3 linked regions of the Canis lupus familiaris genome follow. The protein of the gene in region 2 purifies or fractionates together with the protein of the main gene of each other region. This does not show direct contact. Links are inferred from orthologs where the notes say so. Each region holds a gene or a part of one and is shown on either strand. Other genes may lie near its edges.

Region 1 (11,840 bases), on a different chromosome or scaffold from region 2:
TATTGTGGGAAGTTGCCAGCCAAAAGCAGTTATGTCTCAAAATGGATACACTGACAAATTTTAACTGTAATCTGTATGTGTATATATAACTATAAAACTATACCCCAAACTATAATCATTATTTGGTTGTGTTTTGGTTGGATTACAATCCACAGGTAGGGGGAAGCTTCATCAGATTTGTAGTTCTTTCCAGCTTTACAATCTTTCTGTATGATGTTCTGTCTTTTAATGCATACTTTCTTTAGACTCCAAGTCCACCAGAGAATGAGGTCACTGTGCTGCTGAGTGATCTTGTTCACTGTGACTGTATCAATGCGCAGAATGAGGAACCTGAACTAAAGGAGGAAAATGTGCGATGGCTTCAGGTTTTAGAGACGTTGTGTTCAGGAGTCTCTTGCATATGGTGTAGCAGGAATCTCAGCTTGATTCTAAACTGGGTCTGTTGCTGGGTTCAAGCATGTCTGGGCATGTCTGACAAACTGGTGAGGCAGGCCTGAAAGAAACCTGCTGACCTGGGGGCTGAGACTGCTTCCTAGAATAGAATTCATTTTAGTGGAAGAGAATTAGACAGAGAAGCTCTATAAGAAAGACTTAGTCATTGGATGGGGAGTAATAAATACAGCTTGGGGTAGCTGTTACTCAAATCTGTCGCCAATCTAGCTAGGCCCATGAAAGCATGTCTGGGTTTCTAAGAGAAAAAGAGCTCTGAGTAAAAACATAAAGAGCTGTTTCACTGAACCTTCCATGATAGCGGGCACAAGCAATCTGCCTCGGGGTTCCCCTAAAGGAGGTCAACACCGTGATCTCCATTTCTGCAGGCTACCCCATGGCTGTGGCTGTTTTGCTTGTATCACAGATTCTGGGAAGGAGCCTACAGCACCTAGGAGAGCAGGGCAGGGGAGGGGGGCAACCAGGAGTGAATGTACTAGAGATCTCACATCCCAGAGGCTCCCGGAAAGCTAGAGGTGTCCTCATTTCCTTAGTAGGCCTGGTAGGCAGAAAAGCAGGGGAAATTCAAGTCATTATTGCTAATCTGACCCCATTAGTACTGTGGTCGATGAGTTTGAATACTATTTCTAATCAAATAGTTCTTAGGCAGTGATGTGTTATTAAGCATAGAATCATGCACTCTCCTAGTGCAGGGAAGCAGGGAACTCTGCAACAGTGATTTTTAATCTGTAGAGGACCAGTATTTTATTTTTTGAAAACTTCCACTGGACTGATACTTTTTGCTAAATACAGTAAAGGTAGGGATGCCTGGGTGGCTCAGTGGTTGAGCATCAGCCTTCTGCTCAGGTTGTGATTCTGGGGTCCTGGTTTTGAGGCCTGCATTGTGCTCCCTGCAGGGAGCCTGCTTCTCCCTCTGCCTATATCTCTGCCTCTCGCTGTGTGTCTCATGAATAAATAAATAAAAGCTAAAAAAAAAAATACTGTAAAGGTAAATTACCAGAATAATAGAAAAAACTGACATCAAAATATGAGCCCCAATTGTTTATTCTTAGATTCAAGTAGGCATAAAATTACTCTGTCAAGGTGTTATAAAAGTTTCCATAAGCTAATTTCAGTACTTGTCTAGCTACAGGCAGGTAACAGTTTATGGGGGTGTTCATGCATGTGCACTGGTTGGTGGGCACTGCTTCTTGCGATTCATGTTTTCATCCTACCTCTCACTTGATGCCATGCCATGTTCATCATCCACAAGTCTGTCCTCTAGCCACACACTTCAGTGAGTGGTTACGTAGGAGAGTGGCCTTGTTCTAAGGAGATACATGCAGAGTAATGACCTCTGCACTTGAATCCAAGCCCAGAGACAGACAGACGTTGGGGGGGTGGGTAGAGGTGTAGTTAGAAGAGAGGGAGAGGAAGGGACAGGGGAGAGGGAGGGGTTGGAGAGGAGGGAGAGAACTTCTGGTTTTTGATATTTGCCACTTCTACACGTTTAATCCCCATTCACTTTCACTCTCTTCACATTTTTCTTCTAGGTCCTATACATTACATACCATTACAAATAACTTTAATCATATCATCATACCTTTTTTTTTTTAAAGATTTTTATTTATTTATGAGAGACACAGAGAGGCAGAGACATAGGCAGAGGGAGAAGTAGGCTCCTTGCAGTGAGCCCCATGCAAGACCCCAGGATCATAACCCAAGCCAACGGCAGATGCTCAACCACTGAGCCACCCAGGTGCCCCTCATCACACCTTTTGGAAAATATCTCAGTACACACTAGTTGTCTTTCAAAATCAAATTTTTTATTCAAGATTTTATGCGATCTGATCTTTAACTCTTTTTTAGTTTTCCAGATTGCGTTCTCATACCCGATTAACACTATCATGAATACATTTTTATTTTTTATTTTATTTATTTTTTATGAATACATTTTTATGCCTTTCCATGTTATTTCTTCTCAGTCCTAGAATTCCCCCTTAAGCAGAATTCTGTTCACTCTTCAAGATTCAGCTCAAGTTAAACTTACACAGTTATATATTTTATTGTATAAATTTGTTCAAATCCTACATTCTTCATGAAATTTTCCTTGATTAGCTCAGCTAAATGTTAACCCTAATTTCCAGGGTTTGATAGAGTGCTTGGCACATACACTTTTCAGTTAAACTCTCTGAAAGCACTTACTTTACAATACAGGATAATACACTTCTGGTCTATCTCAAATAGTGGCTTTGAGGTTGAAATGTGTGAGGTGAATATCTTGCATTATATGTGCTTGGAAAGTTAACTGTAAACCATAATGCCCAATACTATTTTTTTAAAAGATTTTTATTTATTTATTTATGAGAGACACAGAGAGGCAGAGACATAGGCAGAGGGAGAAGCAGGCTCCCTGTGAGGAGCCCAATGCGGAACTCCGTCGTAGGACCCCAGGATCAGGCCCTGAGTCAAAGGCAGACGCTCAACCACTGAGCCACCCAGGTGTCCCTAATGCCCCATACTATTATTTTTTCAATTTTTGCTTTCCCTTGAGGAACATATGGGACATATAACAGCTGTCCAAAGGCCTAAGGTAGTGGGTATAATACTTGGGTACTCATAATCTATGAAGCAGGAGACTCTGTTTTTGTTTTATAAAGATTTTATTTATCTATTTGAGAGAGAGAAAGAGAGAGAGGGTGTGAGTGTACATGAGCATGAGCTGAGAGAGGAGAAGCAGCTCCCCAGCTCCCCACAGAGCAGGGAGTCCAACACAGGGCTCAATCCCAGGATCTTCTATCGAGGCCCCTAGGATCATGACCTGCGCTGAAGGCAGATGTTTAACCCACTGAACCACCCAGGCGCCCCCTAACAGGAGACTGTTTTAATGCAATCAGTTCTCAGATCTGCACTTCCCTTAGGTGGCTGTCCCTAAAAGTGATCTGCCTGAAGATACACCTCTGGTGTCAGAGTGTAAAGTTCTTTCCAGCCTTCCTTATCCCAGTTGCCCCTTCCCTACTTATAGAAAAAGAAAAGCATAATTCTTCTCCACCCCAAATCCTACCAAGGTGCAATACCCCAGGGGTGAAACAAAAATCTCCAGGATGTCAAAAAAAGGAACAATTGGTGAATGAGAATGGATAACACAACCTTAGAAGTCAGATGGTTTTCAACAACTTGCTTTCAACAATTGAAAGAGAACCTAATCAGGGTTGTCAGCTGATGGATCATTAAAAATAATTTTTATTGTTAGATCTTTATGTGATTCTTCTGGCATATAATTTGGAAGGAGTTCAAAGAATCAAGTTACTAAAAACTCCATTCATTTTCATCTACTTATTTATGCGAACAAGTTTCCTCACTGAGTACATCCATGGAATCGAAAACTTGGAATAGAATGGATGTTGAACTTGTTCTCATTCTGGTGATACTCATCCATCAATAAAATAAACTAGTTGGGGGCATCTGGGTGGCTCAGTTGGTTAAAGGTCCAACTCTTGATCTCAACTCACGTCTTGATCTCAGGGTCTTGAGTTCAAGTCCTGCCTTGGTCTCCATGCTGAGTGTGGAGCCTACTTGAAAAACAAACAAAAAAGTAGTGGGAACTAGCAGTTCTATCTCTGTAAGATGCATTTCCAACAACATTTTACTTCTGTGTTTAATACTTATGTAAGTATTTAACGATTTATTTATTATTTTAGAGAGAGAGAGAGTCCAGGCAGGAGCGCTGAGGGGCAGAAGGGAGGGAGAAAAAAAGAGAGATTCCTAGCTGAGTGAGGAGCCCTACCTAGGCCTCAATCTGAGGCCTGAAATCCTGACTTGAGCTGAAACCAAAAGTCAAGGCTTAACGGACATAGCCAGCCACCCAAGCGCCCCTCTTACATAAATATTTAAAAAAACGTGCTTTGATCATTCGAAATAATAAAGCTTTAAATTCTACGATCACAAGAGATTCAAACACGATCCTTAATTTCAATTTATTTCATTTTATTACAAGGGACTAGAAGATGATCAATAAAACAGACATAAAAGTCTATTATTAGGATAAAATTCTGGAGGGATGTGGAATGTAAATACGGAGGATAAAGGAAAGATGGAAATTGCCCAAGTATCAAAGAAACCGTATTTAAAAAAGTGGATTTGGTGGGCCTCAAAACTGCAATATTTGGAGTTGGCCGGCTATATTTAAAAGTGACAATGATAAAATATTCATAACCAGTTGGGGGAAAAAAAATGTAGATGTCTTTTTCAACTGCAGAAGGATGTACAGAATTTGGGGGACTCGTTAGCTACAAAGTCTGAAGATCCTGAGCAGAACCCAAGTCTGCAGGGAGGCCGGCTGAACCATTTCTTGGGGGGCGTTGGAATCACGGTTGGCCCCAAACCTGTGGCTCCACGTTGCGCGCGCGGGCGCAGCAGCTCGCCCCGTGTTCCCCGTTTCCACCGTCGCCAGCACCTCCCCTCTGGGCCGCGCAAGAGCAGGGACTTGTTGGATTCCTGGCTCGTCGCCTGCACACGGGGGTGGGGGTGGGGGTGGGGGTGGGGGGGGCGGACGCTCCCCAAACATCCCCGGAATGAATGACTTTATCGTGAGAACTCGGAAGGCTGTTAAAATCCCCGGCCAGCGCTCCAGCTTTCGTTCTGCGTGTCCCGGCGGCCGCGAGGCCCGGAGCAGGCGTGGGAAGACCCCGAGGAAAGTCTGAGCCCTCGGCGGGGGGGCGGGGCGGGGCGGGGCGGGGGCGGGGCGGGGCGGCCGGGGGCGGCGCCACCTCGGGCCTCCGCGCAGGCGCGCAGCCGTGTCCGCGTGAGTGCGCGCAGCGGCGCGCCTGTCCCCGCGCGGGCTCCGTAGCGCGTGTGCAGGCTGACGCAGCTCGCGGGCCCTCCTCCTGCTCTGCGGCGGCGGCGGCGGCGGCGGAGTTTTGGGCGTTTGGGAGGGGGCGAGCGAGGGAGCTAGAGTCAGGAGAGGGAGGCGGCGGCGGGGAGGAGGAGGAGGAGGAGGAGCAGGCGCCGCCATGGCCGCCGCTATCACCGACATGGCCGACCTGGAGGAGCTCTCTCGCCTGAGCCCTCTGCCCCCCGGCAGCCCCGGCCCGGCGGCGCGGGGCCGGGCTGAGCCCCCCGAGGAGGAGGAGGAAGAGGAGGAGGAGGAGGAGGAGGCCGAGGCCGAGGCGGTGGCGGCGCTGCTGCTGAACGGCGGCGGCGGGGGCGGCGGCGGCGGCGGCGGCGGCGGAGTGGGGGGCGGCGAGGCGGAGACGATGTCGGAGCCGAGCCCCGAGAGCGCCAGCCAGGCCGGCGAGGACGAGGACGAGGAGGAGGACGAGGAGGAGGAGGACGAGAGCAGCAGCAGCGGCGGGGGCGAGGAGGAGAGCAGCGCCGAGAGCCTGGTGGGCAGCAGCAGCGGCGGGAGCAGCAGCGACGAGACGCGCTCGCTGAGCCCCGGCGCCGCCAGCAGCAGCAGCGGGGATGGGGACGGCAAGGAGGGCCTGGAGGAGCCCAAGGGACCCCGGGGCAGCCAGGGCGGCGGCGGGGGCGGCAGCAGCAGCAGCAGCGTCGTCTCCAGCGGCGGCGACGAGGGTTACGGGACCGGGGGCGGCGGAAGCAGCGCGACCTCCGGGGGCCGGCGAGGCAGCTTGGAGATGTCGTCGGACGGGGAACCCCTGAGCCGCATGGACTCGGAGGACAGGTCAGTGCCCGGGAGGGTGTCCCCTTCCCTTCTCCTTTCTGCGCTCGTGCGCCTCTCGAGGGGGGCACGAGGGGACTTTCTTTTTTTTTTTTTTTTTTCTTAAACTGAGGTCCCCCTGCGCCCCAGATCCGCGGCCCCTCCCCCCGGCTCCCAACTCGGAAATCTCTCCTGCCCGCCGCGCCCCTCTCGCCGCGGATGGCCGCCCGCAACTCTCCGACCGGCCCCCCCCAACTCTCCTTTCCCCGCCCTCTTTCCCCCCTCGGCTCTGCGCTCCGGACGGACCTACGGACAGCGCCAACTCCGAAACAGCCCTCAAAGTAGGCCCCGATCCCCTGGCGGAGCTCCCGAGGGCCTCGATGCTCACACCCCGGTACACAGGGTTCGCTCGGCCCCACCGGTGTTCGCGAACACTTGTCAGAACTGTAATTGACAAGTGTTTTCCAACATGGCTGGTCTCGCCTGGATTTAACAGAACTTCCTTGTTCAGGGAGGAGACCCCCCCCCCCCCCCACCCCCCACTATCACTTTTCGCCACTTAGAAGGAAAACGACTGGCCTTTTGTAATTTGGTCAGTGCTTCTACAATTTCTCACGTGTAGTCATTATATACGCTCTCCAAAGTGATTTTGCTAACTTGTATTTTGCTTTGTGACTAAACGTGGGGAGAAAGTTTAGAAACACTTGTAGGAATTGTAGACGAGAATAATGGATTGATGTCCTTTAAGATGATGTGAGGGGATCAAAGAATTGGGAATCGTAATGAGGTACAGCCCGGAAGGCACACCATATTGGTATGTGGTTTAGAATCTTTAACAGGAATGTCATGATTTTTTAGACGGTGATATTAAAGTCGTGGATCGGAGAGATCTCTGAAGAAATAAGTAGCCTTTTTCTAAAGCTTGTTAGAAATAATATGAATAGGGATCCCCTGGTGGCGCAGCGGTTTGGCCCCTGCCTTTGGCCCAGGGCGCGATCCTGAAGATTCAGGATCGAATCCCACGTCGGGCTCCCGGTGCATGGAGCCTGCTTCTCCCTCTGCCTGTGTCTCTGCCTCTCTCTCTCACTGTGTGCCTATCATAAGTAAATAAAAATTAAAAAAAAAAAAAAAAATAACATGAATACAGTCGAAAATACGCTTCATGTTTTGGAGACATTACAGTTTATTGCATTAGTGTGTTTCAGTTATTACTTCTCATCACTTTGGAAAACTTCCTATTTTAACTAATTGGTTTTTAATGTACTTTTTTTTTTTTTAAACACAGAGACAACCATGTCATGCCTATTATACTGCTCCTGGCCTTTATTTTGACCATCTATTAATGTTTTGATGTTTTGATGAACAGTAGGATTTTTAACCATCGGTATTGATTGGTCTTTAAAAGTTTAAGTATTCTGAGGTTTTAGGAATTCGGATTGGTAACTAATAAAACGAACACTTTGGTTTATCGTTAATGTTACAAGGAATACAAAACTCTAAAAAACGTGAAAATATAGCACTAGATTCAGTTCGACATTTACTTTAGAGAAGAAAATACCTTGGATGGATGGATGGAGTAAAGTAGACTGTACAAACCCTAGAGAGACTGTGCTGAACTATGTAGGTATGGCAGGAAGGAGAATCTTTAAGATGATTAAAAATTGATGTGACCCACACAATGAAGCATATGTTATTTATCATTTTAGTATATCCTCGTCCATTGGTACCAGCAGATATTTGAAAGTTGACATCAGTTTATACAGTTAACATCTAGCACAGTTCTTCCATTTATCCAGCGTGTGTGGGCACACACAGGTTTAGCACTGCACAATTTAAATGTCTCTATTCATTCTCACAATTCTGGTGCAAGATAGGAATTACTTTGACTTCCATTTAACAGGTGAAGCAAATTGTCTTACTCAAAAAGTAAGTATGGAGTGGAAGAGCTGGATCCGAACAAAGGTTCTCAAGCCTCCTACTTCCACTTCACAAGAGTTAGAATACTCAACTCAAATAACAAGCTGTATGTGCCAGGATTTTTTTTTTTTTTTTTTAAGTTACTATTTGCTACATCCATTTAGGAGATGAACTATTATTGGTCAAGTAATATTTCAGGAAGTGGAGTTTTGGCTTCATTTCATATTTATAAGATAATCACTGGAATATCTAATTTTTACATCATATTTCAGAGTAAGGACTAAGATATTAGTGCCACAAGTCCAAATAAGGTTAAAGCTTCATAATCAAACATACTTGCTTTTCTTAATGCTTAAACATTAGAGAGTGCAAAATATTGTAATCTTTTTACTGTTTCAGAGTGAAAGATTATCACTTGTACGAAAAGGTTTTGCTAGTGAAACTGGATACGGTAGTCTTAATCTTCATTCTTAAATGCCCCCTTGTTGCCTTTAAGTTTTTTTTTCCTTAAGTGTCCTTTTTTTTTTTTATTTTTAAAGATTTTTATTTATTTATTCATGAGAGTCACAGAGAGAGGCAGAGACACAGGCAGAGGGAGAAGCAGGCTCCACGCTGGGAGCCCCATGTGGGACTCGATCCCCCGTCTCCAGGATCACGCCCTGGGCGGAAGGCGGCGCTAAGCTGCCGAACTACCCGGGCTGCCCTTAAGGGTCCTTTTAAATTTGGAAAGGATTCATAGTTCTTAGGAACTGTTCTGCAGATTACATTAATCTATGTAGATTTTATAAATTGATTTCATGGTAGGAGGCCATAATTACTTTTGTAACTGATGTAAGGATATCGTGATTTTAAAGTGCTTTTAAAAAATTTGGGCATTCCTATAAAAATAATTTTATTATTAAAATTTACTGTTCTAGAATACCTGTTCAATTTTTCTCTTACTTTGAAATTAGATCATACTTTTGAGTTTAACATACCTTGGAATTTGTTGAACTATCTTAAGTATTTTTAATTGTAAGTGCTTCTTTTTAAGAAACATTTAGATATAAAGACTTAGATATTTAAAGCTCAGATCCAAGGTGTCAGTTTATAAACATCTAGTGGAAATGTTGTGTGGTGAAAAATGACTGATTTATAAAATGAATAAATGACAATTGCTACAAAAACATTGATTATTTTCCCCATGAGAAAGTTATTCAAAACCAGAATAAGCATATTAGTGTGTTTATTTTGGTAAAGTTAGAAAACCTTAATGTTGATATCGAATTTATTTTCTTTAGGGGAATATTTAGCTGTTTGAGACCACTATGAACTAGTTTTTCTTTTACTTCAAACCTAAGCTTAAGTATTTTTTAAAAAATTATCACTTTAAAAAAATAATTACCATCTTTTAAGTTAATTTCAGAGACGAACTTTTAAATTTTTTTTTTTTTTTTTTTTTTTAAATTTTTATTTATTTATGATAGTCACAGAGAGAGAAAGAGAGAGAGGCAGAGACACAGGCAGAGGGAGAAGCAGGCTCCATGCACTGGGAGCCCGATGTGGGATTCGATCCCGGGTCTTCAGGATCGCGCCCTGGGCCAAGGGCAGGCGCCAAACCGCTGCGCCACCCAGGGATCCCTTTTTTTAAATTTTTTTTTTTTTAAATTTTTATTTATTTACAGAGACGAACTTTTAAATAGAATTTTAGAATTTAAAATACTTCTGAAAGTTTTTAAGTTCACAAATTCTAGCTATTGAATCAAATTATACACTGGAAGTATTACCTTTTCTGTGTAAGTGAATTGATAATTTCTTTTGTAGTTGTTTCATTCATATATATATACATGTATACATATATATGAATAAAACAACAAACAAATATATGAATGAAACAACTACAAAAAGAAATTATATATGTCATTTATATATAATATATACATGTATATACACATATATAACAATGTATTATACACACACACACATATATATGTATATGTGTGTTCCCCCTTCCCCCTCCAACTAGATAGAATAGAAGCCATAACTTGTTTTGAAAAGCCAAGACCACCATCAGCCACTTTTACCACCTTTCTGGGTAAGTCCATGCCAAGTGAAAAGTGCATGTGTAAGGATGGGGGTAATAGGGAAAGACATAAAAGTATGAAACTTAGTGATCAGGAAAGGCCACAGGCCCTTATCATTTTGTGGATCAAGATTTGTAATCCCAATCTTAGGGGGTTGCAAACTTTGAGGTGTAACTGACATTGCTCTGATGCTGGGAAAATGGGCTTATATTGCCCAAATTCTCAGTGGTATGACTGGGAAGATCTTCCAATTTGGAGTCTAAATTTTTAAGTCCTGTTCATACCAGAAGGCTGCTTGCTGAAGTTATCATCAAGATTTATTAAGGATCTCTATGGTTGAGGCAATGCAATACTTTTATGTAAAGTAATTTTTGCTCATACTTTATGATAAACTCCTTTCAGTATTTACCTCTTCAACTCTGAAGCAGCTGTCCATAGTCTCTAAAGTCATTCTTTTCAATGACCTTTTATTTTGATTAAGTTTAGGGAAAAGAGCTTTTTAGTAGGTCTCCGTTTTCTTTGATAACCTGTAACTCCCAGTTAAGTAAGGCATGGTTCTGTGCATGAAACAAATCATGAAAAAACTACAGACTTCAGGACTGAATTTATGGAGAGATTCTAGGGGGTCATTTTACTTTTAAGAAAAGTTAAGGCTACCATGTTGAGTCAGAGAATCCTGTAAGTTGATTTGCTAACCAAACAGGTATTTACTATGTGCAGGACTCTATTGAATATTGTGGAAGACGGGAAGAGAAAAATGCTTTCCGCTTCATCCATCTTGCGTATTGCTGTGAGACTTTTAATTCCAAGGTGTATGTTCCTAGCACAAGACTTTATTGAGTCTTATATAAACAGAGTCAAATTTTACACCTTGCCAGTTGTATTAGCTATTATTTATTGCTGTGTAGCAAATTTCTTTCAAATTTAGCAACTTTTAAAGGAACAGACATTTGTTATCACACAGTGGTTTCTGAGAGTTAGAAGTGGATAGGCTTAGCTGGGTGGTTCTGGCTCAGAGTTTCATGAGATTGTAGTGAAAAGGTTGGCCAGCACTGCAGTCATCTGAAGATTTGACTGGGGCTAGACATGTGTTTCCAAGATGGCTTACTTATTGTAGCTCTTGGCAGGATGCTTCAGTTACTCACCAAGTCAGAATCTGTGTATCCTCATGACATAGCAGCTATTTCCCCTCAGAGCAAGTGGCAGAAGAAGCCACAAAGTCATTTTATGACCTAAATATACTTATTTTTTCTTCTTCCTACGTTTTCATGTAGCAGGTAAGTTTTTCCTATTTTCTTTTTTCATTTATTCCCTGTTACACAATAATTACTTCAGATTTTGTTCACTTAAGGCCCATCAAAATGCCACAACGAATTCTGGCTTTAATTTCTTTTTCCATTTAATTCCTATAGATGTATTTTTTTCCTTCCTGCTTATGGCTTTATTCTAGGTGGTGGGATATAGAATGCTTGTATAAAAAAAATAGAATGCTCGTATAAAGAGTGTGTATCTGAGTCAAAGGTCACAATTTAGATCTTGGTCTTGCTACCTGTATTATGATTTTAAGTAATATCTTTGAGCCTTGGTTCCCTAACTACGTAAAAAGGTTAGATTTTACCATGAAGGTGTTCTAAAGTGCAAAAGAATTTCTGGTAGAGTCCTGTGAACTTTCTGAAGAATCCATGTTATTTGAATGCTTGCTTTATCCATTTTGTTGTACAGTGGTGTTTTTGAGAGCAGAAACAGTTTTAGCTCATTTAGATCTTTATAGT
Region 2 (11,210 bases):
TAGGTAAAAAGACCATGAAATATGCTTTTAATATCAGACATAGATAAAATAATTGGTACTGAAGATTAAGCATGTATCAACCTTAATCACGATAGTGCATTATCATCATTTATCCTCAATTGGATTATTTTAAGCTATATTAATTTTTAAGTGGCAGATCACCAAAGTTATAATATTAAGAATTCTTAAAATAGTTTAGCAAGTCCTCTTATCACTGACCAGCCATGTAGTTAGAAATAATGCATCTGAAAATCTGTTTTGCTTTTTCATGTATAAAGTTTTTGTTTTATAAAGGATTCTCTAATAGAATTCCTTAAAATGCTAAGTTCTCCAGCATAAGCTCTTTGAAATATTTCCCATACATGTAAAGAAAAAGCCCTGCCTTGCTCTATATGCTTATGTTGGGAATAGAAGTTATTCAGGGTTCAGAGAAGCCTTTTACTAATTTCTGAGCTTTCTGAAATCAGCTGTGTTCTTATTTCTACATTCTGTTCTTGATTGCCTTTTCTCTTTTTCTACATTATTATTCTAGTCAAGTTTATTCTTAAAGGCTTGTCAAACCTGTAACCTTCCCTCACAATCTGCAGGTACTAAAAAATGTTCTCAAATCAAAACTCTTCCATGAAAATGCTTCTGTGTGATTTTTCGTTATCTACCAAGGCTTAAGTTTGGAAATCAACATCTAAGAAGAGTTGATAACTTTTTCTCTTTTCTTGATAATAGCTGGGCCCAAGTATTTCTTTACAAGTGATATAGGTCATAATGCCACACTTTCTAAATATTACAGCTCTCTAACCCAGCTCTTGCTCTGTTGTGTCAGTAAGTGTAAAGATAACCTACAGTTATAGATCTAATAAGGGATTTGTATCAAGAGCTCTTAAAATTCAGCAAGACAACCCTTTAAAAAATGGACAAAGGTGTAGAACAGACTTTCTAAAGAATATACACAAATGTCCAGTGAGCACATGAAAAAATGCATAATATCGTTTCATTAGGGAAATACAAATCAAAAACACAATGAGAGGGACATCTGGGTGGCTTGGCAGTTGGGCATCTGCCTTTGGCTCAGGGCGTGATCCTGGGATTCCGGGATTGAGTCCCACATCAGGCTTCTTGGCGTGGAGCCTGCTTTTCCCTCTCCTTGTGTCTCTGCCTCTCTCTCACTGTGTCTCTCATGGATAAATAAAATCTTAAAAAAAAAAAAACCCACACAATGAGACCACTTTATACCTACTAGGGTTTTGACAGTAATCAAAAAGGCAGTAACATATGTTGACTAAGAGGTAGATAAGTTTGAAGCCCCTTACACATTGCTGGTGGGAAAGTAAAATATATCTCCCTTAAAAACCAGTCTAACCTTGCAAAACTCATATTTAACATTCAACAGTTGGTGCTGCTGGCAGGAATATCACTCAGATATAAAAATTTCTATTAGTCATGCTATTTTGGGTGGACTATTATCAAAACCTAAGCAAATGGCGACCTGGATTAATTCAAACTTCATTCAAGGTCTGATTTTTGTCCTTTGAGCCTGCTAAGACCCTTAGTCTAATACTCAGCACTTAATCAACTTCACAAAAGTATCATAGTAACATGAATAGATAATCTAAGACCATAAAAAAACAGTGGCATTTCCTACAGTTTAATTACCATAATGATCTGCAAATGTAGAAACATAGGTCCAGAAAATTTTGGGAGCTGCTTTTGTTAAATATTAAGCTTTCCAATATGTTACAATAAAATTTCCTGTGTTCTTTTAGTTTCTAAGTTGTATCATAATCGGGCTATATATTTTGTTTAGACCATATATTTAGAGACATCTGATTTCAAAAAAGCAAGCAACAGCGCCTTGTGAAAATGTCATATAGGTTATACCATGGCTGCACATGCTGTTATAGACCATTAATTAAAATATGATCGCCTTTTTAAATTAAAGAAGGAATCAAACATCACTGATTAAAAGTAGATACTATTTTATTGGAAAAAAAAAACAGTCTAGCAGTTCCTCAAAAGGTTAAACGTAGAAATACTATTGCTGTGTGTGTATGTAGTCAAGAAAAATGAAAACAAGTGTCTACACAAAAAATTGTACACAATTGGAATCAAGAAATAATTTTTACAGCAATGTTAATTTCTACTATTAAACACAATTTATAATTGCCTTCTAGTGTATGGAATATGTTAATATTCATATATAGTATAGGCATTGTTATATTTCACAGAATACATTTTTATGTTGTTGCTATATATTTTGCTGCTAATGTTTAGTGGAAAATGAGATTGTTCAAATTACAGTTATATTTCTAGGAGGTCTATAATACTATAAAAGCTTGTTGTGGTGTATGTAGTTTTTAATCCTATTTTGGGTTTACTTTAGAAATCTTGCAGTCCCCTTCAATTTGTAAATGTGGATTCTGTGGAGGAAAAAGCTTTATCTTACTCTGTGTCATAGAGTATCTTACTCTGTGACATGTAAGTTTCAATGTGAAACCTAAGTCAAATCTCTAAGTATTATCTCAGGAGCATGAGTCCATCAAATTAGGATATGATTTGAGGTAAATAAGCTAAACATATTTTAAGACGACATAGATATTTCTTTCTGATCTGAAAAGTTTGAGCTCATACTTAAGTCTGCATGTTGATGTAAATTTTTTAAGCAGTTATATAATGTAGATTACATTCCCAGTCCTCCCTGTGTATTGCTGAAGTCCAAACTTTTGTAGTTTTTACTTCTTTACAGAGGTTTTGAGAGTCCAGAGTAAATGAAGGATAAAAGTCCATTTTAATTCTTTTTATGTCTAGATCATGCCTTACGATTGTGGAATATCCAGACAGACACTCTGGTGGCGATATTTGGAGGCGTAGAAGGGCACAGAGATGAAGTTCTGAGTGCTGTAAGTTGAAAGCTGCAGGGCAGTGACCATCAGGTGTACAGAGCTCTGAACAATCCTCATGGAACTCTGACATGAAAGCATATGGTTGGTTTCATATAGTCTGCCAGCCACTCATTTTATTTACTTGGAACATAATAAGGTTTTTAGTTTACAGATGAAGGAATAAAGCAAGTAAGGCTCTTTGTGCTTTATCTGTACTCTTGCACTTTATACCAGCACCTAGAATCTCATGAAACAATACCATGAACTTGTTCAATCAAAAATCACCAAGGTAACTTTTGTTTTGCTGTTTCTCAATTACTGAAGAAAAAGGTTAAGCTGCTTAGCAATTGAGATCGGCTTTCATTTTTTATTTGAAGCTGAAATATAAGATCTATTTTTAGGAATTGTTTTATTATGCTTAAACTAAGTTTCAGGTAACCCTTTGGTTTCATGGTATCTTTATGTTTTATAATTTGTTGATTCATTTTAATGATAATGATATTTTTGGTCAGCTAGTATTTTCACATTATTTTAGCTTTACTTACATTTTATTTTATAGCTTATCTAGTGGTTTTACAAGTCTTCGGTATTTTATTAAACTGTAAAGAGGCACCATGTTTTGAAGCAGGTAGCGTTTTATTTGAAAGGACTTAAATATTCCTGTAGTTAGAGTTTATATTCTTTGGAGAATCATACCTACCTCCTCAGCTACCTTGTCACCTTGGATTTTCTAAAGTTGCAGTAGCATTCTCCCATCTGGTTTTGTGTCCTAAAAGCCATGACACCATCCGTTAAGAATTATAAATTCGAGGGATCCCTGGGTGGTGTAGCAGTTTGGCGCCTGCCTTTGGCCCAGGGCGCGATCCTGGAGACCCGGGATCGAGTCCCACGTCGGGTTCCCGGTGCATGGAGCCTGCTTCTCCCTCTGCCTATGTCTGCCCCCCTCTCTCTCTCTCTCTCTCTCTCTCTCTCTCTCTCTCTCTGTGTGACTATCATAAATAAATACAAATTAAAAAAAAAATTATAAATTCGAGCTACTGATCGTAAGGGTGTCTTATTGCTGTTGACAGGTAATTAGAAGTAGCAGCAACCAGACTTGTGAATTCAGTGAACACCAAACCTAAAACCCTTAGGCTCTTGTAAAACAGTATTCATGACCAATTCAAAGGTTGGAGTACACAGAAATATCTAGATTAATAAAGAAAATATTCTCTTCCTCAAATAGAACTCTGTACTGTTTTCTTCCCTTTTTTTTTTTTTTAAATCTTCCCTTTTTTTAAAGGTTTTATTTTAACACATGAACCATGTGCTAAATTAAATAGCATCTTGGTGCCTCATTGTTTTATCTATGAAATAAGGTGGGATAAGGTTGTTATTATAGATGTTCTGTTACGTGTCTTCAAAATTAGTAGGTAGCAAATGAAAAAGTTAAAATATCTTGTCCCTTTTTTAGACCTTTTTTTTTTACCTTTTTTCTTTTTAAAAGTGAACTTATAACCTATATAACAAGTATTTTACTTAGGTACACAGATAAAAGTAAAATTTCAGTTTTGTTCAAGGACTCATTGTATAGTTTCACATATAGCTGTCAGTTTCATTGTTTAATCAGGGTTGGACAAAGAAAACTTACATAGGTCTTTGTGTCATGGAATAATTGTTTCAGTTTATAATACATGTAATATATAATGAATAATTCATTCAGTTTACTTTCAAAATCAAAGGAAATATTTAAAGATAATTGAATAGATAAAACTAAATTCAAATAATTTACTTATATATTGTATAAGCTCACATATTGTGATCATGACAAATCAGTTAAAATAAATCTTGAAAAAAATCTTGAAAGCAGCATCAACTGATTTATGGACTACATAGATAAAATGTATGTATATGACTTGAAATACGGTTTTCATTATGTTGTACATCAGATGAAAATTGGATAGTTTAATTTTGGGCAATTTTGGATATTTAAGCTTTTCTGTTTTACATACAGGACTATGATCTTTTGGGTGAAAAAATAATGTCCTGTGGTATGGATCACTCTCTTAAACTTTGGAGGATCAATTCAAAGAGAATGATGAATGCAATTAAGGAATCTTACGATTATAACCCAAATAAAACTAACAGGTAAAAACTGTGCTATTTAAAACTATTTCATGCTGTTGGATAGATGCATTTTACTTTCTCTGGAATTTTTAAATAATTCTCCAACATTGAGTTTAGAAGCCTTTTTTAAATAACTTTGAGGTACCAGTTTACCATACCATAAAGTTTACTCATTTTAAATCAAAGTCTTATTTTTAGTCTAATGTTTGTGGCTCCTTTTTCAAAATCCCCCTTAAGTTGTGGTTTCATCTTAATTTAGTGGTACTTTTCACTTATTTTTATTTAGGTAAGCACATGCTTGGCTATTACATTATAACAGTTTTAAGCTGCTTAAACTTGGTGTGGGATAGAGTAAAGAACCTTTCAGAATAATATTACTTGTATTATTTGTCAACAGTCTAATAAATTCAAAGTCAAGAGAGTAAATCGTGATTTTTTAAAATGGGTTTCTTGGCTTTTATTCGTGGTAATGTAATGCTTTCCTTTAAATGATGATCCATATTTTAGAAGGAGAAAATTCAGAAGCAGGGAGGGCCTTGCTTCATGGGACTCTGCGAACTTTAGAGTTTTCTTACAAAAAAATATATGTGTGTGTGTGTATGTGTATATATGTATACACACACATACACACATACCCAACATGCAGCTCAAGCTTAAAGCCCCAAGATCCAGAGTTGCACGTTTCACCAACGAAGCTAGCCAGATACCCCTCTTAATATATTTTTGAAATGCTTCAATTCTTAATTCGGTCATTGTCTTTTCAGAATCTTTTCAGGCTATTAATGTTTTCACTGTAACTGTCATGTCTGTGTATATTAACTTTGCACTTCTGTTTTAACAAAAAAGCTAACATTTATTTTCTGGTTATCAAACCAGGTTATTAATAGATTGTCAGTTAAATTTATAACTGTCAACAAATATTTCAGTGCACTAACATATATATTTGGCTAAAAAGCAATTAACATAATTATAGTAGAATTGAGAATTTGTATCAGATCATTAATAACATTTTAATGTTTTAATAAAGAAAAGCTCCCAGAATTTGAACTGGAAGGAATGTTTGAGATGATTCAGCCCAACATCCTTTTTACATATGAGAGAAAAGTAAAGAGAGGACATGTGAGTTGCCCAAGACACAATTAATTCATGGCATCATATCATTCTTCTACAGTTATTTCAGTATAAAACTGAATCATTAGATTAGAAATGTTAGGTATACTTTTAATTATAGAATTAGTAGCAATTTCTATGCTTGGTGGTCTTCTCACAACATTTTTAAGGAAAAAATAGCACTATGTTTCACTTTCCTAAATAGAGGAAAAGTCTTAATAAATGCCAGATTCCTGTCAGAGGTCATTTTTAGAAATTGTTGCTCAAGGCAAGACTCATCTAACCTTATTTTTAGCAGCCTTTGGAATGATGTGTCATTGTTCCTAGAAAGGTGACTATCTTTTGAAATAATTTAGATATGTTGAGTTGCATAGATTGTTAATGCTTAATTTTAAAGGATTGAGTAGATAGCTTAATGTTTTCCATGAGAAACTTTTGGTGCTGTAATCGGATGACTGTGCTTATCATTGGTTAGGATAGCCAGAATTGAAGTGATTAATTTTGGTCTACATAGTAAGATAAGCAGGTATAATTTTTATAAATGAAATTTCATAAGATAAAATTGAAGGCCGATAATGGAAAAAATACAGAAACAAATACATGAAATGAGACTTTAGCTCTCGATAAACAGGAAAGTTGGCAGTTTTCTAGGAACACAGAGTTAATAGTCATATATTTCATTTGTCAATGTTTTATAAATCTGAAAGTGAAAATTAATGTGATTCTCCTATGGTAATTTTTTTTTTTTAACTTTTTTCTTTTAACTTTTGGCATTTCCATTTCAGGCCATTTATTTCTCAGAAAATTCACTTTCCTGACTTTTCCACCAGAGACATACATAGGAATTATGTCGATTGTGTGCGATGGTTAGGTGATTTGATACTTTCCAAGGTATGCTAACTGCTGTTAAGCTGTACTTCTATTTGTGTTTGTGTGAGTTGGAACTTTGCAGGGAGCACAATTTATTTTATATTTTGGTAAATTGGATGGCAGATGGGAAATTCCCTCCCCTCGCCCCTCCGTAAAGTCTCATAGATTTGGAAACTTGTTTTAGGCATAAAACATCCTGATGAATTATTATAACTTGTGCTGCAATAATAGGAAAAACGTTAACTTGTAAGATGATATTCTTCTGATATCCAGTATTATAAAATAACCAATATCTAAAGCCATAGTGAGTTTTTTGTTATGTCGTGTCCATTTCAGTAAATTTGTATTTACAAAAACAGACAGCTGGAGTTGGCTATGGGCTGCAGTTTGCCAACCCCTGCTCTCTAATGTGTTGATGTACATTTACATATTTTTTGCTGATAATTTAGAGTATTGTTGGTGATGTTATCTGAACATTTAGGATTGTCATATTTGGAAAAATTGCTATCCAGTTTCTTTTCTTGATGTGGATTTCAGGGCGTTTCATATTTTCTTGGGCAGAGCCTGACTTTTTTTCTTGGCCTTTTTACCCTTTTTTTTTTTTTTTTTTTTAACTTTTGATCTTGAGATAATTAGATTCTCAATAAGTTTCAAAGAAAGTACAAGAGGAGTCCCATATTGCCCGTCACTCAGGTTCTCCCACATACATCTCACATAACTGTAATACAGTATCAAATTTAGCAAATTGACATTGTACAATGTGTGTGTAGAGTTTATGTTGTCTTTTCATCACATGTGAATTTTGTCATTTCAAGAATGTTACTGTATGGGACCCTTTAAGATTAGTTTTTTCCACTTAGTATAATGCCATCCAAGTTGTTGTGTGTATCAGTCGTTTTCCTTTTTTATTGTTGAGTAGTATTCCATGGTATGGATGTACCACAATTCATCTATTGTAGGACATTTTGGTCCTTTTCAGTTTGGGTGTATTACAAATAAAGCTGCTAATGAACAATCGTGTACAGGTTTTTGTGTGGACTTAAGTTTTCATTTCTCTGGGATAAATGCCTAGAATGGCAATTGCTGGGTCATGGTTAAGTTTGTTTAGTTTTTTAAGAAACTGCCAAACTATTTTCCAGAGTGGCCGTGCCATTTTACATTCCCACCAACAATGTATGAAAGATCCAGTGTCTCCGAATCTTCGCCGGCATTTGGTATTGTCACTATTTTTTATTTTAGCTGTTCTGATAGGTGTGTAGTGATATCTCATCATGGTCTTAATTTACATTTCCCTGATGGCTAGTGATGTTGAACATCTTTCATATGCTTATTTACCATCCATATATCCTTTTCGATGATGTCTCTTCATATCTTTTCCTCATTTTCTAATTGGATTGGTTTTGTGTTTTTTTATTGTTGAGTTTTGAGAGTTCTTAATATATTCTGAATATGAATCCTATGTCAGATACGTAGTTTGCAAATATTTTCTTCCAGTCCATAGCTTGTCTTTTCATCCTCTTAACAGGGTCTTTTGCAGAGCAAATGTTTTTAATTTTGATGAATTTCAATTTATTGATTTTTGCTTGAAAAAAATTATGGATTGTGCTTTTGATGTTACATTTAAAACCTCTATGCTCCGGATTCTAAAGGTTTTTTCCTGTTTTCTTCTAGAAGTTTTATAGGGTTATGTTTTATATTAAATGTATGATCTATTTTGAGCTAATTTTGGATGAGGTTTAGAAGTAGTTCATTTTTTGCCTATGGGTATCTAGTTATTCAGCACCATTTGTGGAATAACTGTTCTTTTTCCTTTTAATTGCTTCTGCACCTTGGTCAAAAATTGTTTGGCCTGTTTGTGTGAGGCTGTTTCTGGTTTTTCTGCTCTAGTACCTCTACCACTAGAATATATATACAGTCTTGATAATAAGTCTTGGAAACAGTTACGTGTTTTCTTCCACTTTATTATTCTTTTTCAAAATTGTTTTAGCTCTTTTGATTCCTTTGCCTTTCTGTTTTATATCCGTTTGATGGGGGAATTAATTGACATCTTTGCTCTCCAGTCCATGAACATAGTATGTCTCTCCATTTGGATCTTTTGATTTTTATTATCAGCATTTTGTAGCTTTTAGCCTGCAAGTCCTATACATACTTTGCTAGATTTATAATTAAGTACTACTTCTCTTTTTTGGGTGATTGTAAATGGTATTTCTAATTTCTGTGTTTATTGCTAGTATACAGAAATGCAATTGATTTTTCATATTGACCTTGCATCCTGTGACCTAGCTATGCTGCTTACTAATTCTAGGATTTTTTTTGTCTAGTACTTGGGGTGTTTACGTAGACTATCACCTCATCTGCAGGTAGGGACAGTTTTATATCTTCCTTTCTGACCTTGCCTTATTGCACTGGCAAACTTCCAGTTTTGTGTTGAATAGCAGTGTTAAAATCCGACATTCTTGACTTGTTTCTGATATTAGAGGGTAAGAATTCTGTGTTTCACAATTAGGTATATTAGCTGTATGGTTTTTGTGGATGTTCTCTATCAAGTTGAGAACTGTACTCCTTACTAATTTTTTGAGAGTTTTATCATGAATGGGTGTTGAATTTTGTCAAATGCTTTTTTCTGTATCACTTCATGATACAGATATAGTTTTTCTTCCTTAGCCTGTTAGTGGATGTATTTTATTGGCTTTTCTGTTTTTGTTTTTGTTTTTTTTTTTTAATATTGATCTGGTCCTGTATCCCTGGAATGAGTATATTTGCTCATAGTGTGTAATTTTTTAAATGTGTTGCTAATAGCTGATATTTTGTTAAAGATTTCTGTGTTTGTATTCATGAGGCTATGATACTAGTCTGAAGTTTTTGTAATGTCTTTGTCTGGTTTTGGTATTGCTAATACTGGCTTCATAAAATGAATCGGCAAGTTTCCTCTGATATTTTTTGGGAAGAAATTATATAGAAATTCCTCATAAATGGTTGTTAGAATTCTCTAATCATCTGAGCCTAGAAATTTTTGAGAGAGAGTTTTAAAGATACAGATTCCATTTCCTTAATAGTTAAAAGAGCTATTCAATTAACTATTTCCTATTGTGTGAGTTGTGGTAGTTTGTGCTGTTTAAGGAATTGATCCACTCCATCTAAGGTAAAATTTATGTGTAGAGTTGTTTGTAACATTCTCTTATTTTCCTTTTGACAACTGCAAAGTTTCCTGATAGCTCTGTTTCATTCCTGAAATGGTAATTTGTCTTCTCTTTTTTGGTAAGTTTTGGTAAGGGCTCACCAGTTTTTTTTTTATCTCTTCTTCCTTTTGTTTGCTGTGCTATGTTTTGCTCTTTGACTAATTTCTTAAGGTGTGGGAGCTTACATTATTGAGTTGAGACTTTTTCTAAGATAAGTACTAGATGCTAGAAGTTTTCTTTTCAGCACTTCTTTAGCTGCATCTCACTAATTGTGATATGAAGTGTGTTTAGTTTCTAGGTGTTGGAGATTGTGTTAATCTTTATCTTACTGATTTCTAGTTTGATTTCATTGTGTTCAGAGCATATTCCCTGTGATTTGGTTGTTTCTGAGACTTATGACTATCTTGAATGTGTTCTGTGGGAACTTGAAAGGAATGTGTAATCTGTTTGTGTGGAGCTCCATACGTGTCAGGTGCTATTGGTTTGACAGTGGTTGAATCCTTATATAACTTCATTGATTCTTCTCTCGACTTATTTTATCAATTATTGAGAGATGGAAAAGTCTCCAGCTGTAATTGTGCATTTTTTTCTTTTTGCTTTCAGTTTTATGATGTTTTGCCACTCTGTGGGTTGCTTGTTGTTGCTATGTCTTGGTGACTGGGCCTTTTTTTTTTTTCTTTAATTAATTTATCTGGGCTTTTTTCCTATTTTCCTGTAGGTTACATGATTTTTTGTTTTTTTGTAGGCTCTATGCTCAGTGTGGGGCTTGAACTGAAGCCCTAAATCAGGGTCTCATGCTCTATTAATAGTCAGCCAAGCAGTGCTATATAAACATTTTTTAGAATCCCACTTAAAATTTTTTTAAAAAATTTGTTTGAGAGCGAGCTCACATAAGAGAGAGTGTGAGCGGGGAGAGGACCAGAAGGAGAGGGAGAAGCAGATTTCCTACTGAGCAGGGAGCCTGATGTGGGGCTCTGTCCCAGAACCTCAAGATCATGACCTCACCTGAAGGCAGATACTTAACCAGTTGAGCCATCCAAGTGCTTCTAGAATTCCATTTTATCTGTAA
Region 3 (10,078 bases), on a different chromosome or scaffold from region 2:
CTGCCTGCACCCCCCCCCCGAACATTTTGAGAGGAACCCAGCCCTCCAGGTGAACGTGGAGGCATACTGATAGCTCTAAAGACAAGCTCTCTACCAGAGAACCTTTCTACAAGTCCTTCAAAACATTCAAAACGTGATTAAGACAGATCCAGGATTACCTGAACAGGCACTTACGATCTCTTTTCCTTCCCACACTGGAGCCCTCAGGAATTGCCCAAATAGTGCAAAAGTGGCACAGCCCACAAGAGAAAACTGTTGTTCCCAAAGCCCAGGATTCTTACTTCTAGCTTCCCTTAAAGTGTAGTTAGGGTAACCATTAAAGATTATCGCAGATGAGAGAACAAGCTACTGGATTCTACTAAAGTAACAAAGGACAGTTAAAGAAAGGAAGATGCAGCCTAGCAGACATAGTTAAAATTTATCATTACACGTGTATGTTGCAAGACAGGCTCAGAAAAAGCACACGTGCAGAAACTTTTTAAAAAAATTCAGTATTGGTGGGAAACAATTTTGTTAAAAATTTCTATTTAAAGCTCTACTTAAATTCTATTAAAAGCTGGACTCTATCATCGTGTTTTCCAATCAGGAAACACACCAGGGAAGAGGCCTATACACAAATAAATAAAAGCGAGAATGGGGAGAAAAATCACATTTATTAGTTCAGACAACCACAGGCTGGACACAACACACATGCTAAAAAGTGGACTGTCTTAAAACTTACTTCAAAGGTAAATAGGTAAATGTTTTCCACAGCCCCACAATCATTTCAGTAAGTGTTTACAAATTAAAAGGCCGTTAAACATTAAACAGTAAAATATGTAATAAATACTCCAACCTACCCCAAAAGCTTCTTATAAGTTAAAAGTCATAATGAATTTGACTAACCATGCTATTGAAAACTTTTCAGTCACTAGAGGCTGAATCAGTTTTCAATGTATTAGTCCTAAAAATACCACTTCCCCTGTCCCCCAACCCCAAGCAAACTCTAGTAAGATTTTACATTTTAGAGATAAGGCATTGACACCAATTAAAGCCTGTTTAATAATCAGAATTTAAATGAAGTCTCATAAAGACCTCTCCTCTCCTGACAAAAAGGAACATATATACCAGACTCTCTGGGAAGACATTCAGACCTATTTCTAGTCATTATTGAAATGAAGTGTTAGAAAGATCGGTGAGCCAAAGTTAAATCTAAAATAATCCATCATCCCCTGACCTTTCTAGCAATAAAAACCCATGTTGACCTAAGACGACTTGTATAAGTCACTGTGCTTTTGGTTATGTTGCTTCCTCTTGGTTCATCATTCATTTACTTTCACGGGGTTTTGTTTGAATATGAATAGACCCTCCAGTTTTTAAACTCCTCTAGAGTTCCCTGAATTATGGTAAAGACATTCATGATTCCCAGTGTCAACTACAGTTAAATGTCCCAAGAGCCTGAAGACTACAATCTGTATAAATTTAAAGTCTTAGCTTTGTTCACCATTTTGCTAATTCACATTAGAGCCAAGAGCAAGACTATAAACTGTTCTGAAAAATCAAGTTATTTGGAGCTTTTCAAATATAAAATTTTGCGAAGAAATAAAGTCATCCACGTTGTTCTCACACTAAGCAGTTTGAGGGTGGGGCTATACAGTTGATTATGTCCTATTTTAATCTCACTTCCCCATTCTGCTAATAAATAGGCTATTAAATGACTCACCTGATGAGGTACTGGCAGAAAGCCTTAATACAACTTAGCCTACAATTGTAAATTTACTTAATCTCATTTAATTCTTGCAATATAAATAGATCATTTTTAAGAAGGGCCTTCTGTTCTCCCCACTTCCCAAACCTAAATCATAGAAAGGAGCAGTTAATTTAGTTTTTATGGTTAAAAAAAAAAAACAAAATCAAACCAGACCATCTAAGCAAAGTTTTACATGACATTATAGATGTAAAATAAAGTACAATTTCCACTTAATTCAGTCTTCAAATATTTTTTATTGGAAGGCCATGCGTTGCCTTCATTTATTGTATTTCAAATCACTGTACATTTACTTTTGTGAAAACACTGCCTGCATTTTCTAGTACAAAAAAAACCTAAAAATTGTTTCAGGAATGTAGAGAAATATCCAACTTAAATAGCGAAAAAGTGCACCATAATTACTGCTGCACTGCAGTCATTTCTGCATTTCCCATGTTTCTTAAATAACTATCTTGTCTGATAACACACAATATAAAGAGCAATTATGAAAAACAGACATTTACATATACTTCTAAAGTCTTATTGAGAATATCCTGTTGGCATTGGATAACCAATCATAGGCGCAGCTGCAGTAGCAGGATATGCATATGCCTGTTGGTTCATACCATTGTGCATATTGGGAACATTACTTCCATATTGCTGAGTGCTATCGTAACCATTCTGGTAAGTCCCTGTTGGATTACCAGTCCTAAAACTGGTCTGTATACCAGCAGACACAAAATTACTTCCAAAGCTCCCATTGGTGTAATTTGCAGCACTGTAAACACCATTCTGAGTTTTTGCCCCAAAATCTCTCTTAAGCAGACTAGAGTAACCTCTGTCATAATTTTCCCTGTCTCTAAAGGTATTAAAGCCACCCCTTTTGCCCGCAGAGTATCTGTCCCGACGGTCATCCTTCATGCCTCCTCTACCCCTGGAACGACCTGTCAAAAAAAAAAAAAAAAAAAAAAAGAATTGCAAGCTGATTATTTCCACAGCACAAATCATTACTAGTACAGAAAAAATTAGAAAGAAGCTCTATTCAAAGTTTAAAGTGTTTTCTCAGTTTCATATGAAGATTTTACTCACCTGCCAATCCCATTTAATGGATTTGCAGACAATCATGTGACCCCAAAATCACCAACATTTCTTAATGAAGGTTAGTCTTACCTGAACCTCTGTCTTCGACCAACTGAAGCAACTTTGGATTAATTGCTTGATTAGCTTCACGAAGCACAGAGATAAGGTCGCTCACTTGCTTTATGTTATTAGGTGTAAAGAAAGTGTATGCTGTGCCTGTTTTGGTACTGCGAGCAGTTCTTCCAATTCGATGAATATAATCCTCTGAGGAGTTAGGGTAGTCATAATTGATGACAAATTTCACATCTTCCACATCTGTAAGGTGTTGCAGTGTGGCAAAATAGCAATGTACGGAGTTTTGCACACCACAACAGCCAGACCAAAAATAAAAAGTTAGACAATTGTATTCCCAAGAAGGTACGGGCTGCAAAAAATACAGTTAAAATGGTTATCCATTCCCTGTAGGAATACCATTGAGGTTGGAAGGAAAAAAAAAAAAAAGCACACACCATCTACCTGTCTCATTGCCCACCCAATGACAGAGCACCTAACAAAAGGACGTGTATTCTCTAACATATTCCCAAACCAGCAAGTCCCCTTACAGATCATCAAGTGACATCTGAATGCTTCTGCGCAGTAGGGCCACTTAAAGGTTCACAGCAACCTCTTCATGTGCTCATTTTGAGGACCTTTAAACAAAAATGTACATGGTCCTTTGCATTACACACTCATCAGAAGTTCAAAATTCTGGCCACACTGCTTGTCTTGCCAAGACCTTACAACCGCAGCTGCAAGAAAAACATACCTGTCCCCCAAAAGTTGTTTTTATGCACTGTGTCTCGTCTAGGCAAGCGCTTCCAAGAAGCCAGGATTCACTTGAGAATGTGTCTCTCTCTGGCAGGTCTCGACATGACGACTACTGTGTAGGTGAGGGAGGAACTTTCAAAGCACTGCTTTCTTTTCCCACTGACTAAGTGTGAGAAGTTGCTCCTGCTCTAGATCTCATGTGCCAGTACTCACCAATTTGTAAAAGGCTTAGTACCTTTTAAAGCTGCTCTCTCCATTTCAAACTTGAACAAAAATTTCATTGAACATTGAAGTTTGGAAATATTTCTTCAACATTTCAGCAAACTCACTGAAACTCAAAGACCCACAGATCACAGTAAACAGTTTGAAACAATGCTGTACCATGGCAGTCATGCAAAGCATGGGACAGAAGAAATACCACGGCAGTGAACTGTGAGGATAACTTCCATTTTTTTCCCCCGGAGAGAACAGTTTACGGGGCAGAGGTGGTATGTTCTGCCTTTTGAAGATTACTGGCACACTTTCAGCTTTTCACCTCTCTAATCGACTGGAAGCAGCCAGCCGATCACTAGTCCTCCATCCCCCTCGAGTCCTCCGATTGTCATGCCTAGGCCTTGCCACAAAGACTGCACCTTTATATGAAAAAAACTTAGAAAAAATGCAGAGGTTAAAGAAAGCAATAAACTTTCTTTAAAAAAATTATATGGAGATCTTCTGGGAAACCAAGCCACGAATTCGAGTTTTTACTAACCTAGCCCTCTGGAGGCCACATCTGTAGCAATCAGAATAGGAGCTTTTCCATGTTTGAATTCTGTGAAAAAGAAACGATCATCAATAATCTGAGAACTCCAGGTTCTGAGGGAAAAAATTTTTCATCTGACTTACCATTTAGAACCCAGTCACGTTCCTGTTGACTCTTGTCACCATGGATACCCATGGCGGGCCACCTACATTCAAGAAAAATTTTGTCAGTAGGCTTTGCATTTAAAGCCTGATAGGTTTTACTTTACTGCCTATCTAGTCACTAATTCCTTTAACTTCACCTGACCCATGCAGTTTTATTTACACCAGGTAAACTTATCTATGACATTCAAATCCACTTGCCCCTTCCCTTAAATTCAGCTCTCATATACTTGCTTTAATGGAAAAAACTCACATACCCGTCTCTCCTCATTTTTCTAGTAAGCTCATCACATCTTCTTTTGGTTTCAACAAAAACAATGGTTTTATTCTCCTTCTCACTCATGATCTCTTCCATTAGACGAATAAGTCTTGGAGGGAAAAAAATAGTGAATTTTAAAAGAAGTCCATGATTATGGCCACACATTTATGGTCACTCAAGAACTATCTTCAATTTACATGGCTATGAATGAAAAAACACCTGCTTGAACACTTATCAAGCAATTCTACCTTTGGTCCTTAAACCACAAAACAGGTTCCTCTCCTAAAAGAAATGTTACCGATAACCAATTTTGTGAATGAAGGAAATATTGCTAAGATTGACAGGATTTTAAAAGAACACGTTCACATTCTACCCTATGTAAGTTTCTTAACTTCTAAATTTGTACACTGAACTTTTAGTTCTATAAAAAACTTACTTTTCATCCTTTTCTACGTCATGACATACATCCACAATCTGAAGAATGTTGTGATTTGCACTCAGTTCCAGTGCACCAATGTTTATATGAATGTAATCTTTCAGGAAATCTTCAGCAAGCTGTCTTACTTCTTTTGGCCAAGTTGCACTCCACATTAGGGTTTGCCTATCAGGCTAAAGAATGTTGGATTTTAAAAAAGCATTGTATTCTAAATAAATTTAGAGCCCCGTTTCAAAATAAAACATTTTTAGGGGTACTTACTCTTATCTGATCCACAATCTTCCTTATTTGGGGTTCAAAGCCCATATCAAGCATTCTATCTGCTTCATCAAGGACAAGGTAGGTGGTTCTTCTCAGATTGGTTTTCCCACACTCTAAAAAATCAATCAGTCTTCCAGGTGTTGCAATACAGATTTCCACACCTTCAGTTAAACATATAAATATAAATAGAACTGTAACATCTAGACTTTCTAACACCAACAAAAAGAAGAAAAAGGATTTTTGTTACGTGCCTCTCTCCAAATCACGAATCTGTGGTCCCTTAGGAGCACCACCATAGATGCAAGTGGACTTCAATCGACATGCTCTACAGTATTCAGCAGCGACTTGCTGTACCTGTTGGGCCAGTTCCCGAGTTGGTGCCAGCACCAAGCACTAAGAGAAACAGAAAGTGGAATAGGTTTTTGCAAAGTCCTGGATCCTAGTTTTAAACTTATGAGCATTTACTGGCATTACTTCAGCAGCTAATGGATTTTGCTGTCCAATATTCCAGGATAATCAAGGCAACTTTGTCTCCAGTTAAATTACATAACACAACTGATGTCTCTATGTGAAACTACCAGAATTGGTTTTGCTATATATTCTGCAACTCTCTTTATTGTACTCACACAAAAATTAAGAAAAAATACACACATATATACTTACAATAGGCCCATCACCTCTCTCTAGGAATGGCTGATGATTGATATGGACGATAGCAGGCAGCAAATACTATTTGGGGTGGGGGAACAAAACAAAAGTTAAATTAAAAAGCTTCTAATTTCCTTATATCACTAATCCATTTTCTCTAACATAATCACATATTAAAACTCAAAAATTCTTCCACACTTACAGACAATGTTTTCCCGGATCCAGTCTGTGCTACTCCAACCATATCCAAACCACTTAGAGCAACGGGCCATCCCTGAGCTTGAATTGCAGTGGGTTCAGTAAAATTCTGTCTTGCAATCACATCCATTACATTTGCTGTAATTAGCAACAGTAATTCAGTAAATTTAGTGAAGCTAAGAAAAAGGGTGAAATTAATAAAGGGGGGGGAGTGAGTGCTCTGAACTAGCACTTACCAGGGAAGTTTGCTTCATAAAAATTCAGAACTGGCTTTGGGCAGTTGTGACCTCTAACCGTAATTTCCTTACTCCTTCTGTATGTCTCCACCTCTTGCTATAAAACAAATTTTAATAACCTACTAAGTACCATAACAACCTTCACCAATATGCAGTCAGCAGGCCTTAAGTTTATCAAGGATTAGCAAACTGTAACGGGCCATTTAAAATCTATATCCACATATAGAAAACCTACAGAGCACAAGATCCATCTATTGTAGTTATATTTAACCACTCTAAACAGAAAAATTCAAAGATACCACTTGCCAAAGCACCTCCTCTTCCTCGACTATCAGAAAATATGAGTTTTCCAAGGCCTCTGTTCAAATTTCTGTTTACTAAAAGTCACTGTTGAGTTACAGCCCAAGGAAGCCCTGTGAAATTACTCACTGCTGTGCGCCTAGCCAAATCAGGGTGTTCTTGATAAAAATTCTTCTCAAATTTGGGCAGCTCATCAAGATTCCACTTCTTTTTGACTAATTTCTCCCCAGGGTTTCCAAACTTCTTTCCAGATAGGGGCCCTGCCCTACTTCCCCCAAATCGAGGTGCACCAAACCTGAAATTAAAACAAAAAAGTTATATTTTCAACTACCTACTAAGACGTTTACATACAGACTATTTATTGTCCCTTGACACACAGTACAGATAAATGAAAGACTTTTCGAGGTTTAAGACTTAGCACTGTCCTTAGTGATGGGTCATGCTCTCAAAAGCCACAATTAGCACCATCTCTCTCACTTTCCGTTGTCCCAAATACACACTATTGAAGCCAAATCAACAGCCCGGGATTTATCAGGTCGGAAATTGGCTGCCCAAACGCCCCATGTTCAGATTACAAGGATAGACAACAGCTTGTGGCTCCTAGTCTTTCCCGTGAGCTTAGGCATTAAATGTCTGGGGGAGAGACAATACAAGGGAGGTGCGTAACAGCAATGTTATTATCAGCTCTTTCCAAGCCAAGCAGCTTTGGTTCTAAGGAATAATGGGACAGCACCAACGAGAACAGAACAAGGACGGTGGTCTCAGAGACATTTATGCAAGCCCATCGAATTGGGGGGATCCCCCCGGAGGGCTCCTCATCAAGATAGCAAAATTATATAACGCAAAGAAAAAGAGGAGGAGGAGCTGGCAACTACCGGGGGAGGAGTCCCGGACCGGGCGGCGTTCCCGCTGGGGCGGCGCTTCCCCCTTTGTCTCGCATTTCTCTCTGCGCCACATTTTCTCGACGCTGCCATTTTGAGCTCCTCCGCCGGGCGGGGTAACAAAGGCGCCGCCGCCATGTCCGGCGCCGGCATTTTGTACCCGCGGCTCAGCCACATGGCCGATTCCCGCGGTGCCGGCCGCCCTCCTGCTCCCGCGCCATCAATGGCTCGTGAGGCGACCCCTTCGATTACCACAGAACTCCCGGGGCCCCTACAACACTTCCCGAAAAGATGCACCGAACAGCGGTGACTTCGTTCTCCTGAAAGCGTCGCGCTTTCCAACCATTGAAATACACTCCCCCGAATTGTCCCCAACAGCTGCTCAGTCGGCGGGGGCGGGGGCTTCGGCGCCTCCCCCATCCCCCCACCAACAAAAGGCGAGCTTGAGGACCGTTAACAGGGAAACATCCCTCTGTCAGTTCCGGACAAATATCAAAATGGCGCAAGCCTTCGATTCGTAAAGGTTAAATATAGCCGGAAAAAGCCGACTGTCCATCGCCCCCGCCCGCCGCCTCCTTCATCGGCCTCCCATCCCCCACTGCCGGGCCTGACAAGTCCGTTCCCACACTCACCCTCGATCCCGGCCGCGGTCTCGGTCACTCGAATAACCCGACATGGCGTCAATGGTTGCGGTTGGCGGGGAACGAAGTAAAGAGAATCGGGTGCGACGAGTCGCTGCAGGTGGCTTTGGCGATGGCAAAGCCTTGCGGGGGCGGCAGCGGCAGCGGGGCGGCGATGACAGGGGCCGGAGCTGCTCGACAAGAGACCGGTGGAAATGAATGAGGTGCCGGCCGCGTCCCGGCAGCCGGTTTTATAGCCTGGACCGCCTCCTCCGCCGCGGAGAATGCTGGGAGCCGCTCTATGACCTAATCACCCCGCCCCTGCGCAGAGGCCGCAACGCCCGCCGGCGTTCCGGGATCCGCCATGTTCTCGCCCCACCCCCACCCTCCGCTTCCCTCAGAGTCGCCGGCTTGGGGCCCCTTTCACGGCTGGGCCCACCCGCACTGAGACGCCTTAGCCTACTCTGTGTTCTTCACCTTTTTCTCGTCTTTCCACACCTCAAGGAAGCCACCCCGCCCTTTCCCAGGTCTAGCCCTGCCGACAAAATGGCCAGCACAGACCAACCCACTCAGCCCACTTGGAGATGTTTACGTCTCCGAAGAGCCTTCACGCCCCTAACCAAGTGAGACGGGAAGGCGGAGCCTGACATTGTCACGTGACTGCTCCCGCCCATCGGGTAAGCGGACCGCACTACTTCTCCACTTGGCGTCGGCGGAGGAATACGAAACGAAATAGCTCGCCGGAAGTGCCGTACTATTGCCCCCGGGAGGCCGGCCAGGGCCGCTGGGTGACCCGGCCTGTCAAATCCACCCACCTGAGAATCCCTCAGCGGGATCTTGCCCGCGGAGAATGGTACCTAGAGCCCACAAACCGCCGCCTGGGCGCGTGCTGCGAAAGGAAGTCCTCCCGTGATGACCAATCAGCAGCAAGAAGCCGTTTTAACGTCCCTCCCTCTTTCACCCCCTGCCCTTTCGTTTCGTTCTCCCCCCACCTCGGCGTTGCGTCTGCGCTGTGCGGCCCTTCCCGGACGCCGTCCGCCTCGCGCCCAGCTGGAAGTCCGGCAGCGACCTGCCTCCGTGACATGGCCGGCTCAGAGGCTGGTGAGTCTCGGCCCGGAGCCCGGGTGTGTGTGGACTGAAACCCTTTAAGTCCGCCGGACGCTCCTAGGCCTTTTATCTCGAATCCTCCGGCTGGACTCCCTGGGTCTGGGCTGCCGGCGGGGCTGGTGACAGACACCCAGTCGCAGTCGGCGGTTCCGTGGGTTTCTTGGCCCCGCTCTGGGTCCCCCTCCTAGAGGCCATCTAGCGAGATCTTGGGGTGTGGAGAGAAGAACCCCGTGGCGAGGCCCGCAGCACGCCCGCAACCTGGCTGCAAAAAGGGCAGTCGGAAAGCTGCTTCCCGGGACTCGTGTTTCTCTGGGGCATCCAGCCACTGTCAGCGCGCTCTCTGCCTCTTGGATTGTGGGGACTGAGGCCGTTACCTCCATGTGCATTGAAGTTTTGAGGGGAACGGCACTCTAAAGATCTGCTGATGCTCCTGCCACAGTAGGATAGTGGCGGATTTTTCTCTTCAGTGCCCTCTGGAGTTACCTGCATTGTCTAGCAACCGCTTTTGAAAACCGAGTGGGTTGGGTTGTCCGGGACGCTTTTCTTTTCATCCTTTCCTCAGGACAGCGTTCAAACCAGCTCGTGGTTTGGTCAGCTGTGAGAAGTGGGCACGGGG

What was found.
Region 1: the proteins of EED (region 2) and AEBP2 purify together in Homo sapiens (affinity purification with mass spectrometry; 6 studies listed by BioGRID and IntAct, counting the BioPlex papers as one, with this or other methods). This does not show direct contact. The link is inferred for Canis lupus familiaris from reciprocal best matches to the Homo sapiens genes EED and AEBP2.
Region 3: the proteins of EED (region 2) and DDX5 purify together in Homo sapiens (affinity purification with western blotting; 3 studies listed by BioGRID, with this or other methods). This does not show direct contact. The link is inferred for Canis lupus familiaris from reciprocal best matches to the Homo sapiens genes EED and DDX5.

The regions. Positions count from the first base shown.
Region 1 is NC_049248.1:18,425,833-18,437,672, forward strand, and holds the start of AEBP2 (zinc finger protein AEBP2), read left to right. Parts: upstream 1-5,350; 5' UTR 5,351-5,441; coding exon 5,442-6,112; intron 6,113-11,840. UniProt on the Homo sapiens protein: Acts as an accessory subunit for the core Polycomb repressive complex 2 (PRC2), which mediates histone H3K27 (H3K27me3) trimethylation on chromatin leading to transcriptional repression of the affected target gene.
Region 2 is NC_049242.1:13,363,281-13,374,490, reverse strand, and holds part of EED (polycomb protein EED), read left to right. Parts: intron 1-2,802; coding exon 2,803-2,894; intron 2,895-4,869; coding exon 4,870-5,003; intron 5,004-6,877; coding exon 6,878-6,983; intron 6,984-8,101; coding exon 8,102-8,176; intron 8,177-11,210. UniProt on the Homo sapiens protein: Polycomb group (PcG) protein. Component of the PRC2/EED-EZH2 complex, which methylates 'Lys-9' and 'Lys-27' of histone H3, leading to transcriptional repression of the affected target gene.
Region 3 is NC_049230.1:14,616,568-14,626,645, reverse strand, and holds DDX5 (probable ATP-dependent RNA helicase DDX5), read right to left. Parts: upstream 9,199-10,078; 5' UTR 9,171-9,198; exon of another isoform or gene 8,727-9,170; intron 8,547-8,726; 5' UTR 8,412-8,546; coding exon 8,368-8,411; intron 7,150-8,367; coding exon 6,984-7,149; intron 6,652-6,983; coding exon 6,555-6,651; intron 6,457-6,554; coding exon 6,323-6,456; intron 6,202-6,322; coding exon 6,136-6,201; intron 5,866-6,135; coding exon 5,724-5,865; intron 5,634-5,723; coding exon 5,473-5,633; intron 5,385-5,472; coding exon 5,212-5,384; intron 4,885-5,211; coding exon 4,774-4,884; intron 4,561-4,773; coding exon 4,499-4,560; intron 4,425-4,498; coding exon 4,365-4,424; intron 3,122-4,364; coding exon 2,897-3,121; intron 2,671-2,896; coding exon 2,267-2,670; 3' UTR 1,964-2,266; downstream 1-1,963. Other genes in the region: CEP95 (centrosomal protein of 95 kDa), read left to right, coding at 9,438-9,456. UniProt on the Homo sapiens protein: Involved in the alternative regulation of pre-mRNA splicing; its RNA helicase activity is necessary for increasing tau exon 10 inclusion and occurs in a RBM4-dependent manner. Binds to the tau pre-mRNA in the stem-loop region downstream of exon 10.